Linked DNA regions of Caenorhabditis elegans. The protein of the gene in region 2 interacts with the protein of the main gene of each other region in a pairwise test. Each region holds a gene or a part of one and is shown on either strand. Other genes may lie near its edges.

Region 1 (8,214 bases), on a different chromosome or scaffold from region 2:
TAATATATTTCAGGATACGCAGAGGCTTACAAAGGACTTCCGATTTACAGATGGTATAAGAGAAACATCAAGGTAATTTGAATTCGAAAAATAAATAAATTGATTGAAAATTCAGGGTCAATCGAAACTTCAACCACCTCCAAGACTTTTCTGCATTGATAAACACGGCCGATTCAATCTAAATCATGCTTGTCCAGTAAGTTTTTGTAACAGCAACTAACATTTGCAGATATAACAAACAAATTCACGAATTACAGGTGTGCCGTGACGAATATCTATACTTCGACTACCGAAACCCAGGTCTCATTGAACAATTTTTGGCAGATGGCACCGACCAACCAATCGATATCCTGAAGAGTGGACTATGTCGTGAACAGTACACGCTACTTCGTGCACAACTTCTGAAAGCAAAAGAACATGGAACAATCACATTTGGAGTAGAATTCCGAAACTTTGATTATCGTCAATGGTACAAAAGCTGGACAGATGAACCTGGAAAGCCTGTTGAGAGAGCTGGTGTACGTCTGCAAGATATTCATCCAGATCCACTTGTTCACTTCCCAACATTCAAAAATGACAAGAACAACGACTGGGACGAATGGTGGATTCGTCATGATAAATTTGCCAAGAAGGCAAAGTAATTGTTTTAATTTTCCTAGCGTGTTCGGTTTTCAGCAATTTTCTTCGAATTTTAGTAGGTCTCTATCGTAATTTGTTATCACTTGTTGTTGGTTCTAATAAAAATTGAGCTCAATTATTTAAACATTTATTTTAAAAAAAGCAGAAAGAATACAAAAAAGAAAGAATAAACCCGTATATAGTGCCTAGAAAAAGACGGCAAGACATGAGATTTGAGTCAAAATTAAACAAGAAGTCCACCACTAGTCATCACGGGATAGTTAGATTCATTCTCAACAACCGATGGATCACTGGAAAGTGGAATTTCGTTGGGAGCGTGATAGTGACTTATAACACGAGCATTTTCAGTTTTCTGGACCCTGAATGCACTTTTATAAGACTGATTCTTGGCTCCTAGTTGCTCCGATAACCGTATTCCTGGAGAAAGAATCGGGGATGGATCAACAGTTGATAACGAAATTCCACCTTTCCCAACAATGTGAGTTTTGTGTGCCAACGAAGCTCCAGATGTTCTAGAAGAAGATCCAGAAGTTGTAGAAGATGGGGCTGGAGAGTTGAGCATCGGAGCAAACATTGAAGGAACCGAATCTTGAGAAGCATTTCTTGATTTATAGTCAGAACTCAAAGGGATAGTAGAAGCCGGTGCAACTTCAGAGTGTCCAGAAGATCTTGATCGGAGTCGTTCGTACATATCGTAGTCTGGCGTCTGAAAATTATAGATATTATTTCAACTATGAACTCTTGATATAAATATTTTGTATAGAAAATCATTCATGAAAACTCACATCTCTATCAGATGGCTCTGCCTCCAAATGCTGACGTATTCGCAAAAGAGTCGCACTTTTTGGGTCGAAGCTGACTAATGATGTGACATTAGTTCCACGATTTTCTTCTTCTAGGTCAGGTCTCTGAAAGAAAATATAGCAGTTGTGAAATGAAATATTTTATTCAACTAAATGACTACAGTAACCATTTTGTACTAATTTAATAATTAACCATCAAGTTTTCAAAAGTTGTAGCCAAAAGTTTCTACCTAAAACGACTTGAAAATCATGTATAAAATTATAGAAAATGGAAACATTTAACCAATTCAAAACAAACAAACTTACTCTCAACGGCATAATTTTCTTTTTAATTGGCTGTGTGTACACATCCTCCAAATTACTTTCTTCTTCTGATGATCTATTTGAAGAACACGGAGCACAATCTGGAGCTGGCATTTCTGGACGTGGATTCTTTTTCTTCTTCTTTGAATTTCTCTCGAATTGTCCTTTGACTTCTTTTTTCTCTGTCACTTTCACTTTTTCTCTCGAAGATCCTAAGTCGTCATATTGTGAATTGAGGTATCCACTGCTAGAATTATTCGTGGAACTTGGAGCTTTGGCAACTTTTGATGCACATATTTGAGCATAATGGTTAATTGATTGGGAATTTGATCTTATTGGTTTCTTTCGAAGTTCCACAATCACTAAGATCGAGAAAATTGAAGTTACGATTGCAAAAATAATATGAAGAATTGCTTGAGATGCTTCGACTGAGTAGAATGGAATGAGACACTGTTTTTGAACCCATTTCTTTCTGGAAATCATTTGATTATTTCATATTTCCAATTAGAATAAATGAAATCGCTCACCTTATCACATCAAACTCGGCATCACAATATGGTGTGAATCTTAAGAAAAACGAAGAAGAGTACGGTAGTCCAGCCGAAAGATATGGTCTTGAAATTTCTCCGAAGACTCCGATATACCATAGGAAAATGAGCACATTGATTGTAACGGAAAGAGCATTTGATGAGAGGAGAGTGTAAAGAAGTGGACGTCGTTTTTGAGTAGCACCGAATAAACCCGAGATCAGCAAGACAATCTGAAAATATTCGACTTGTTCTTTCCTATCAATTTATGATATTCACACTTTCAATTTTCCCTGAAAATTTTCTGTTCTTCTAGAAATACTAGGAAATCTTAATCTCATTAATCCCAGTTTTTCCTCAAAAACATGAATATTTTTGTGTAAACTTTGCAAACCATTCTTTCCCGATCCCTGCCCATAATTAGACAGGATAGTCGAGGTCAGACACAATTTTTCGTCGAAAAACTGGCAATTATCTAGAGAATAAGCAGGAGTGTCTCTACCTACTCATGTTATATTTAATCACGATGTCAGAAATAACGGGCGGTACGGTTATTGAGATGGCTATGTACAGAATGATGGCGCCAAAAGTGGCAAGGTTGGGCGATTTGAACTAATAATAAGACTGGAAATAAATATTTTATTATGAATATTAATGTATTCATATTTTTTCTTTAATTGGATATAGAAATTGGTGCACTCGAACTACTGTACTTTCTCTATCAGTGCTGTGCCCCATTGCTCAAGTTATGATATGTAGAAATTGGATATAATTTTTCGAAGTGGAGCAATGAAGTACAATACCAATAGTAAATTAAAGTATTGCTTTATTTTGAAACTACTCCCCCGCGAATTCACCCCTTTAAGACTAAACTTTAATTTGAAAGTTTCAAAAGTTTGAAGAAGGGCAATCAAATGGGAATTAACATTTCATTCTTCTTCTCTTTCTACCAATTTTGTGTCACAGCGGGAGAGAGCTTAGCCCTTCACCTCCGTTTTCAGGGTCATTCTAATCCTCTTTCTCTCGTTCTACTTGTTCTCGAAAACTACCGTATAAGAATGCGAATAATAATTCTAATAATCATGATTCATTTGATATAACCATTCTCACTCCCATCTCATGAATTCCTTTTGAGAGGCGTCACATTGTTGTATAGTGGTAGCGGTTTATCGGTTCGCGCGATGCCGCGCAAATCGAGATAACGGTTTTGGTTTGGGGGGGCAGAGGATTGAGAAAGGAGAAATAGAGATTTATGATAAGTTGAAACGAACAAGCTTGATTTAATTTAACAGATTGAATGTGACTGATCTTTTAATTTTTCCGGTGATGATTTACCAAATTTTACCAAAATATCGGAAAATTTAATCACATTTAATTTACTATTTATAGTATACTTATAATTTTCCCTACTTGCATACAAATTCCGGGATATCTTTCAGAACCATACGCATTCTTCAAATATATTATCCCATGACACACCTAATCCAATTACAAACTGATCCACTAGTCATACTCATTATCGAATCGAATAAAAAGTTTATCCCTGTCAATTCCGCCAATCCGCATCAAGTTGGAAGCTGCCCTGTATGATCCTTTCATTCATTTTTTGTTCAGTTTCCGTTCCGAAAAGTTCTGACAGCAAGCGGGAGAGGAGATACTTGAAACAAAAAGAGAGCCGTTTTCTTGTCCAACGCGGTGCCGCCCGTTGTTATTTTATCAGAACAATTGAGCAGGGAAATGTCTTCAATATCTAAGGCCACAAGCTTGAGGGAAAACGATGGACTATTTGCTCAGGGAACAAACAACATTTGTGGGATGTTTATTCGTATTCATCGAAAATGACGAGAAAATGCAAGAGGAGAGATGACCAGATCCCATGGCAAACAGGTTCAGGTATTCACAGGTAATGCCATCGGATTGGAATGCTTCGGTCAGTGAGATGAGCTCTCCTCATCAACTAGATTATAACAACTGGTAAATCAATGAAATCAAAACTTATGGTTATAGTATCTAAAGTTTTCGCTTTAATGGTTTTGACATCAAACAGCTCTAGCAGATCTTTATCAACTAATCAAAAATTTTAACTGAATCTGGGTTGGAGTTCTTTAGAGGGCGAAATAGCGTCATTGGTGGCTTCTGTTTTGCCTAAATATACTTCAAATAACCCAAAAAACGTCCAAATGTTAAAAAAAAATCAAATTTAAATATTTCATTCGAAGCTTTGTTGTATTGCCAAATTTACGAAAAAACTGGGTTTTTGGCCGATATCAAAAATTATGAGTGACGAAAACTGAATAATAAGCCTCTCTTACTGAAAATACAAAATTTTCAAAATGTTTTCAAAGTTTTATCATAATATTTGGGGATTCTAGCACTCTATAAGTAATTTTTAACAATTTCATCACCGGCGATTTAGAAAAGAGTTTCAAAACCATTTTTCTAAATTCACTATTCATCAAAAACTCAAAAAATCATTCGAATAACACGTTTCCGAACGTGCTGAAATAAGTGTTAAAGTTAATATCAAAGTACAATCTTTGAAAGCACTTAGCCAAAGATCTGTTTTCCATGATCATTGGTACTATACGAGTATCTACAAATTTCAAATGATCAACACGGTATCCGGTTCCGTGCTCAATCCTATATCCACCTTATTCCCACCTTTTCTTCCACTTAATCTCCGGTATTTACATGACATGCCTGCTAGAAAGCCGCAGACAGGTCAAACATCTCACCTGCACAAAATCAAAAACGACAACGACCCAAAGATTTCCAATCAAATCGAATACAAGTCGTGCTATCGAGAGAAGCGTCCACGTGGCAAGTAGAAGTGAGAGCAGCCACCGAACAGACATCGGCTCATGCCTCCATCCAACTGAACACACTAGTTACTGTATATGGGTCTGAAATATATATGAAAAAATACTAATATTTAGAACGCATCATTTGAAAAATTAAAGTTTTGAAATAAATGAATTGTTCTAATGAATGAGTAACATCTAGACAATAATTTGCAAGCACTTAAACCAAAATTTAATAGGATGATGATAGTCGTCCTGCAGGACAACCATGCTTATCAACAAAAATGGGAACAGACAAAAATGAATGACGAGGGATGAAAGTGAGAAAATAATAAATGGTAGTTGTAAAAGACGGAGGCAAGAAAAAAACGAAGAAAGATGAATGGAAATGGCTGTGAAAAAGAAGCAAATATCATCTTCATAAACAAATAAACAAATGAATGGATGGTGCCTAAGAGTTCACTAAAGCACTTTTGAAATATATTCTTGATAGAATCGTGTCTAGTGTCTTATTTAACTGAAGAACATTTTGAGAAGAATTAATAAAATGATAACAAATTCAAAAGAAAAAAGAAATGAAAATTATGATATTCGATACAGTGATCAAAAATGTACCAAATGCAAAAAAATCTAGAACTGAAACAATTCCAAAACTAATGTATTCTACAAATAGAGAATGTTAAAATTTCAAATTTACCTTTGAAAAACTAGGTTGTTGCTTAAAATAAAATTCATAAACTACACTGGTCACATGAAAAGTTTCAAAATATTAAAATTTTCAAGTACGAGTTTAATTGTAGCATGACAGTTTCATGAGACGGGTTTGAAAGTGTTTGAAAAATACTGTAAGATACTTCTAGAACTAGATAAAGATTTTCTAAAACAATAGAGTTTCAATAATTCAACTTATACTCTCTGAGTCTCTAGTTCTATAGGTAATAATAGCATACTATCGGGAATATACACACATACCCGAATGGACCCCTTTCGAAAGCGCGGGAATCGCTCAGCCAGCGAGACACTGGAACTGTTTGAAGAGACGCAGAATTAATGAGAAAAAGGTAACTGACACGCCCAGTTTCGATGAGACCTCCTCAACTGCGGAACTGAATGAAAAGAGAATTGAGAGAAAACAGAAAGTATTAGGTTGACTTGTCGAAAGAGGGGTCGAATTGTGGGAGAGAGAGTTAGTTTACATACGGAAGAGTGAAAGCGATGCTTCCGAACATCGTGCTTTTCGGATTTTAACACATGAACTTTATGAGTGTGAGGTGAATTGAAATGATAATTCATGGTAAGTTAGGCGGATCTGTGCGAGAACTTGGTTACCCGTTTCTGGAAAATGCAGCATTTGATAACTTTGCCAACTTTGCGACTCACTGAAGACTCAGGTTACTTTAATAATTTTTAGATTATTAAAGCTATATTTTTCCAAAAGACGACTCGTGTTTTCAGTAAGCTGTTCAAAAACTCATTCAAAAACGGTTTACTAGTCAAAAGAAAGTTCGAATAGGTTCTAAATTTATTCAGAAGGCAACAAAGTTAAAATTTAATTGTATCTCAATAGAAAAAAGAAATGAAAATGCATAAAAATTCCATTGAAGGCGAAACTCGATCGGAAAACACTTTTCCTCACTTATCTGATTTGTACATTCTCGTTTTTTCGTTCACTTTTTTCCGGGATAAACAAAACTAGCTAATAACTGATTCTCCGTTCCATTAGCTACTTGTTGTTCTTCTCATTATCTAAACAAGGACTCTTCACTTTACTGCTCTTTCTGAACGGGCGGCACAGCGACACAAAAACAAATAAATACAACTGGTAACTGGAGATTTTCTGTTTTATGCGCGGAACATTCGGGGGACCTGTTTCTGGTTCTGTCCTGTCTCTTGTCCGGTTGTGTGTTCAAATACATTGGTATAATCTGTTTACCTATGTCTTGCACCTATCCTGACTGATGTGCTCTCTGGATTACAAATACATTAACTTTTATTTTAATCTTTAAATCAATATATTCAAAATACAATCTATAATTTAGCACCATAAACAAAAATACGTTAAATACACTTTAAGAAACAATTAAACTGTGAGCTTTTCCGTAAATAATATCGCTCGGAGCATTTGCCTCATCACCAAATCCAATATATTGCTCATTTCATCACTGACAGCTGATACCACAAAATCACTAAACTCTGAGAACATCATTTCAGTTCGAGCTTTTCGTTCATTTGTTCCCATTTTTGTATCTTTCAGAGCTTGCAAGTGGACGATTGTGTAATGCGTCTGAAATATGTCTGGAATTATTTTTTTGATTTAAAGAAATTACAGAAACCTAGATGTTTACTTATCTAGAAGATTCAAAATAAGTAAAACACTTAAGTTGTTTAACCTTGCTATTGTGGAAAACTGTTGAATTAACTGGAATTCTGAAAATTGATCAAAAGAAAAACAATTAAAATTTGTTTTTTTCAATGTGGGAAATAAGCTATTTCGAATACTTTCAGAGCACATGTATACAATGAGAAAAATATAAAACATTTAAACTTTAATTAAACATACCTTTTCCGCAATTTCCTGTAACCGTTCATCTTGAGCTAATTTCAAGAGAATTGATTCTGCTTTATATGCATTATAGGATTGTTGTACTTCCGTTCGTAAAGTTCCAACTAGAACATCTAATTCTGTCATCTAAAAATAATTTCAATACATAACGTTTTTATAGAACAAATACTTTTCGAATTTGTGCAATTCCAGGAGTCCGATATATTGCCATAAACTGTTCAATGGCTTCTGAGGTGGCATTGATAAGAAATGGAGGTTTTGGAGCGGGTTCCAGTGTAATCTGAAAAATAAAATTGTTAAAACAATAAAGAAACATTTTGTTTATTTAGTTTTGTGTGGTAGCGAACCTGATCAGTCCGATATGCACCGACCTCGTCCAAATTGAATTGTCGAACGTCGAACATTGGTTTCTTGGCCGCCTGGGCACCAACAAAAACTGTGAGAATTAGAAAAAGCATTGGATAATAGAACTTATAATAATAATTATTATAATGCAGATGAAATATAGAAATACCGAGATATCTAAGTGTAAAGGCGGAGTATGGAGCAAACACGTCAAAATGGAAGTGAAAACTGCG
Region 2 (6,469 bases):
ATTTGGCCTTCGTGGCCGTTGCAGGTGCTTGCTGTTGGGGTTGCAGTGGTAGCCGTCGGGGTGTGGTGCTGTAGCTGGCAATCTTGCGCGCCGAGTTTGGCGTGAGGTAGTCGGCCGATGAGTGACTACGGTAGTTCTGATATGCTCCAGGGGGGAGATCTGAAAAATGTGGAAGGTGACTACGAAGATGTAAGGATTTGATAACAAAACAGTACCGCAGTTCAAAAATTTTTTATTGACAATTTCATCCACTAAAAACTATGCAAATATTGCGCATGTATCGTGTTAAAAATCGACATGGGCCGTCCAAATTTTTAGCAACACTTCTGAGTTTTTTTTGTAAATAATTGAACCGTTTATAGAAACTCTTGCCCTCTCACGGGAAGTTAAGGCTGTCCCAATACAGTTTGATCTACAAAAAATGCGGGATTTTTTCCCTAAAAATTTGTATGTGTCAAAATGTGTCAGCACGCTCTTGGGCCATGCCAAATCAGATGAGATGTCTGCGTCTCACCTTCCGCATTTTCTGTAGATCAAAGCGAAATGAGACTTTCTGACTCCACTAGCAATGTAACTTTAATCTTCCTTTTTGCCTCAACATTAGAAATACCAATACCATTATCTCACCTGGTATCCTCCTCTGGGAGTTCACTTGCTGTCCGTTGACAGTACCGTTAAACCCTGTTCCACCAAACCCTGCAGCTGCTCTCGGTGAACCTTGATCACAATCTGCACTTATGCCACTGTCCGTGTCGCTGTCTTGTGGGGTGAGATACCCTGCAAATGAAAAAAAATATGAAAGTGCAATAACCTCTGCTATTTCATTTACTTTACTTTTACTTCTCCACCTCCTCTCTCTTTTCTATTTCTCACGGCCTTAAACCAAAAAAAAAGGGTCTGTTTGGGGGGAAACGCGATATGTCCGCATTATAAATGAGATAAAATGAAAATGAAAAAAATGGAAGTAGGAGCTGGAGCGGTAGTAACCGCCGACAAAAAAATGAAAATGTATAGGCGAAAAGAAACTGCAAAAAGTAGCAGCAGGAGAGGAAGAAGAAGTGGAACGTGACGTTTTTTGGTGGCGGCAGCAACAAGGGGATCAGGAGAGGAAGAACAATGAGTTTAAAGCATGTTTGGACAGAATTATTGATGACATCTACCGAAGAGTAGAGAGCAGGGGAGAAGAAAGAGGACGGCAAAACGAGAGTGCAACACCCCATCCCTCACTAAAAAAAAGTTTTGGCACATTTTTCTTTCGTTTTTTTTTTTTCGTCCACTCCCTCGTGCCTGTTAAGGGTTGAAGTGGTTCGGTTCGACCACACGGAGAAGTGAGGCATGCTCTCGAGGAGCACTGGGAATGCCTATATCTTTGAAAGTCTGAAGTCTGAAGAAAAACTGAAGCTCTTTGAAGCCGATCTGAAAATCTTTTGCATCATTTTCAAATGGTGTCAGGCTGTCCTAATACAGTTTGATCTACAAAATCGGCGGGAATTTTTTTTTCAGAAAAATGTGACGTCAGCACACATGGTTAGCCATACGAAATCAGGGGAAAAGTTCTCCCGCATTTTTTGAAGATCAAACCAACATGGGACACTTTGACCCCACGTGGTTTTTTTTATCAAACAAATCAGTGAAAAAATTGTTTTGCATTTCTAAAATGGTTGACTGTAAGTATATTTTTAAAGCAATTTTAAAGACATCGGAAGTAGAAAAAAAGTGCTGAACATTTCAGATTTACTTTTTTCAGCTCAATATGCTTCAGTTGAGCTTCATACTTTTTCAGTATACTGTTCAAAAATTATATTTCAAATCAAAAAGGTTCCAATCAAAATTCCAAGATCAAGCTCAAGTAAACACTGGTAGCGCTACGATTCTTTGCCCTCTTCAGCAACCAATGATTATTTTCAGAATGGGCTCTCCGTTTACACACTCAAAAAAAACGCGCAAATATTCTGCATCATGGGCGCTGTCTGAATGCTCTTCCTCAAAATGCAATAAGCAGGAATGGGTTGCGGGCAAAACGCAGAACGCACTTTTGTTGGGGTTTGTTGGACCAAGATCAGCACATGGTGCCGAGCTAGAAGTGTAAAAGTTCTGAATGTGTAGTACTGGGCTCTTCGGGAGCAAAAATGAAAAAGGCACACACACATACACAGACATAGTCTCGCTTGAAAAGGTCCACGAACACAGAGACTTGGCATTTGAGATGGGTTACAAAAAAAAACGCTGACCGCGCGCCGCGTCACTTGCTCACTTTCCGTTTTTCTTATTTTGAAAAGCTTGTCGTTTTGGTGTGTATGGCATGTTACACTGAAACTGAGAAAACTTGACGCTTTGTGGTGAGCGACAAAAAAGGGAGAATTACTTTGCAATTGAAAGCCAGAGATCAAATATCTGTTAGATTCGCTTCAAAATTTTGGAATACAAACGCACAATTTAGCAGTTAAATTCAATTGCTCCAAAAAAAATTTTTTCTACACTAACGTTTTCAACACTAACTAAGAATTACTCAAGACTTACCTAACGTTTTACCTAATTTGAAAACATTTATTTCACAGAGACGATTGAAAAGTTTTAAATAGCGGAAATGCGCTCCTAAAATTTTAATAGAGTTTGTTTTGTTTCAATGACTTTCAGATCTAAATTTTCCGAAATTAGTTCTTGCAGACTATTAATGGCCACTGGAGTTTTGGGGAATAGGCAAAAACGGGTATTATTTAAACATGGAGTAGACACTCATTATGATCTAAAAAGACCAAATATCTTAATAATACAATTCAAAAAATTTCAGGCTTTTCATAATTTCCGGTTAAACTTTGGCAAATTTTCAGAATTTTGAAAAATAAGAGCTTTTGAAGAAATCCAAAGCAATTTCACATGTTCCGGGCCCTACAATGTTTTAATCCAAATAATTACTGTATAAAAAATGTAGAAACATTTTTTTGGTCGACTTCCAAAATTATGATTGGCAAAAACTGAGTAATTGTCACTTTTTGACAATAAATAAGTTTCATTATGATATGTGGTCATTTTGGGACCAAAGGAGTGGTTTTTAACAACTTTCCCACTGGCGCTACTCCACTTTTAAAGAAAAATAGCGAAAAAATTTTGCAATTTTTTAAAACATTCCGTTAAAAAATACCAAACATTTTACCGAAAAAAATATAATGTTCATAATTTTTTAATATGTTACTTTGAAAATTCTGCAAAGACCGATTTCGGAGCATATTCACAATTCTAAACAAAAATAAAAAAAAAAAAACTCCAGAAGTAGTTACGTGTTTAAAATATCTTTCATATTATGAATATCTGTATCCATAAACTGTGGCTGAACTGAACTCATAGAAACATGTAAAAAACATAATTGTGCAAAAATGGCTACACCACTGCATTCGAAAAAGTACGTTTTTGAAAAATTCATAATTTGCCTCTTTTAGCTCGGAAATAATTCATGATGAACGAATACTAAATGACTAGAGCAAAAAACAGGAAAAAAATTGTTCAAACGGTTAAAAGAAATTATGTATTACATAGTAAATGTTCCAAAAAAAACGTGAATAAATATTTGTAACCTGTTTTTTAAGCAACAAGCGCCAAAAACATTTTCCAGTCGATGCACCATGTTCGAAATCTAGTATTCCACATTTATTTTAGGCATATGGTAGGTAATAACTTTGCTCTTACAAAAAATATTAGAAACAAATCACAGAAAAAAAACATTTTTTGCGAAAAAGACACGTATTCAAAAAAAGGTACGTCTATTGAAAATTCATAATTTTTCCCTTTTCTATTTGTAGATGACGAGCGAATACTGAATGACTGGTGCAAAAAAGAAGAAATTAATTTTGAATTTGGAAAAAAAAGTGAGAAATAATTATGACGTACCTCCTTGTTGATAAAACTGGCCACGCCCCAAATTTCGAGGTTTTGGTGGGGGCATTGGAGCCTGCCGATTTCCAGAAGACATTGTGATTTGTGTCTCTGAAAATTGTAAGTTTATAAGAGAACAATTTGAAAAAAAAGATAACATATCAGAGGTAAAGAAACAAATGATAACATCAAAGACCTGATGGGATATAATCGGCCTAGTTAAGGTATGTTCTCAATTTTTGGGGGCTGCGGAAAAGTAGGGGAAAAAAAGAAGGCGAAAAAAAAGCGAGATGGACGTAAAGATGTGAAAAGTGACACTGTTAATTGGATATATATGTAAAGTGGACACAATCGTGACTGGCACTGGTGCACGTACTGACGTCTTGGAAGTTTTAGGTGTGTTTTGATCAAGAGTAATTAAATATATAAGGGGGCAAATAGCTCAGTCGGTAGTGGTGGCCGCTAGCAATCTGGAGGTCACGAGTTCAAGTCCGGCCTCACTTCCTAGGTTCACCCAGCCCCTATTGGGAAGTGGAGCAATCCAAGACTGGATTATCGGCCACAGTCCCCGGCTCGGACGTGGCTTAAATTACAACCCAGTGGGATCACCACCAGGCAGTGTACCTGAGTCCCAGATCCGCAGTGCATAGCACTTGGAGAACGGATCGTCCTTTGACCCTTTAATCTTTAAATAGTGAAAAATAGCTACCCTCGTATTGTTAGAAATATCGGATTTTACTATGATGAGTAAGGAAACTGATTGAAAGAGCATCGGAAAAAAAGATTAAGAGCACGCTTTCAAAAATACAGCTTTCTTCCAAAATAACCAAACAATGCACCTAAAACTTTCTATTAAAAAAAAACAAAAAACAACTTGTGTCCCCATTGACAATTCAATGTTTGAACACCAACTTCGGCATTCGAACTTGAAGCAAAAAAAAAACAGTTTTTCTTCACTACTATCTCTAGAATGCACACCATTCGTGGGCACACCGACCTAATAGAACTGTCCCCAGGGACGGATTGATCACGAAAAGGAAAAGGTCATACAACACACAATGCAGTCGTTCAGAACAATGTGATAACAAGAAAAAAAATAGAAGAGTGGGTGTACAGAAGAAAAGCAAGGAATGTTCTGGAAAAGTGAAAAAAAACGAACTTGAATACAGTGTAAACATTACATAGAACTAGGATTTTTTGGCGAAAACATAGAAATGGCGAGATTGTTCAGAAGAGACCCCAAAAGCTTTTGATGATAACTATTAGGACCTCCATGGAAGCGGCCGACACTTTTCGGGTTCCGCGCAGCACTAAGCAGGAGGCGCGGCTCGCGGCACGAGGCAGACGTCGCCTGCATGAAAGCCCTAATATTTATGTTTAATAAAACCACTGGTATTGCAAACTTTTTCGTGATTGTCATTGGGTTTTAATTTTAAATTGAGGGTAATGACTATAAAGAGGACTATGAAAAATTTAACTTCAAAATTCTAAACTTCAAAAACTACCGCAATACCAAAAATGTGACTCACTTATGATCAGTATCTGAACCGCCAAACCCATTTGCATTATTGCTTGGTAATCTAACACCCGAATGGCGGTAGACACACACACACGTCAAAAGTTAGGGTTCCATCCCGTCCCCCTCTCGTTAAACACATGTTTAATCTCGCCAGATGGTTGTGATGCCTTAGTGAATGATGTACTTACTCTTAAGCGACGAACTTCTCTTTTTGTGCGAGCCGAAGCAGCAGGATGTACGTGATGTATCAGGAAACACATAAATCTATCGCGAAAAAATGGGGAGAAAAAGAAAGAAGAAGAATACTGAAAATAGCGAACAAAACTAAAGATTGATAATTTATGCAACGGGTAATAGATAATGGGTAAAAAAATACTTTTCAATTTGTCGGAAAACTTGTAATAAATGCGTTCCGATTAACAGAACTAATAGTAAGATGTTAAATTATTTCGCCACAAAAAAAATCTGATAGGACCATCTATGCACGTCATACCATTTTATTTTTCAAATAGTATTTCAAAAGCCGAGAAAAAAATAGGGGCTCACTATAGTTATCGTATCATAAAGCTTGATTTCTTCGAAAAAGACCGGAAACCTGCTAGTCCCCTCTGATTGTTAGTGACGCGTTTCATGATGCACTCCCTCTTCTCCGAGACTTTTCTCTTTTCAAATGTTTGTACTGATTTGAATTGAATTGCCATTCCATATCAGGAATAGCTGAGAGGGAGTTTGGGTGTGGTGGGCTCGGTAAGTTTTGAACTGGCTGGATTGTTTTATTGAACTAGGAACTATTAGCCATTTGAAAACAGTCAACGATTTTTCTATAAAAAAGTATAACATTTGTTCAAGTATATCTTTTTAGTTTGCTGTACTCATTGAATTTAGTAAAAAACAGAAGAAAAGCATCAGAACATTTTCAGAGAAACTGAAATAAAGTTTATATATAAGTAGGGTATATGGATTCTAAATTGGCATGTGATCAGCAAGATCTAAAAAATTTAAATTGAAAATTCCAAATCCTCCAAAAAATTTCTACAGTTTAAAATTACCTTAAAACACCAAACTATGAACTATTCTAAA

Evidence for each region.
Region 1: the proteins of C09G1.4 (region 2) and gldi-7 interact in a two-hybrid assay, tested with the Caenorhabditis elegans proteins (one large-scale study listed by BioGRID).

What each region holds. Positions count from the first base shown.
Region 1 is NC_003280.10:8,526,048-8,534,261, forward strand, and holds gldi-7 (Sodium/potassium-transporting ATPase subunit beta-1-interacting protein), read right to left. Parts: upstream 5,176-8,214; 5' UTR 5,128-5,175; coding exon 5,008-5,127; intron 2,506-5,007; coding exon 2,273-2,505; intron 2,218-2,272; coding exon 1,749-2,217; intron 1,548-1,748; coding exon 1,425-1,547; intron 1,346-1,424; coding exon 863-1,345; 3' UTR 752-862; downstream 1-751. Other genes in the region: mrps-18B (28S ribosomal protein S18-2, mitochondrial), read left to right, coding at 14-72, 116-196, 258-641; W01C9.1 (DUF148 domain-containing protein), read right to left, coding at 7,154-7,357, 7,634-7,762, 7,806-7,916, 7,984-8,094.
Region 2 is NC_003284.9:15,992,955-15,999,423, forward strand, and holds the start of C09G1.4 (uncharacterized protein), read right to left. Parts: upstream 3,984-6,469; 5' UTR 3,968-3,983; coding exon 3,886-3,967; intron 1,485-3,885; exon of another isoform or gene 1,261-1,484; intron 778-1,260; coding exon 628-777; intron 160-627; coding exon 1-159.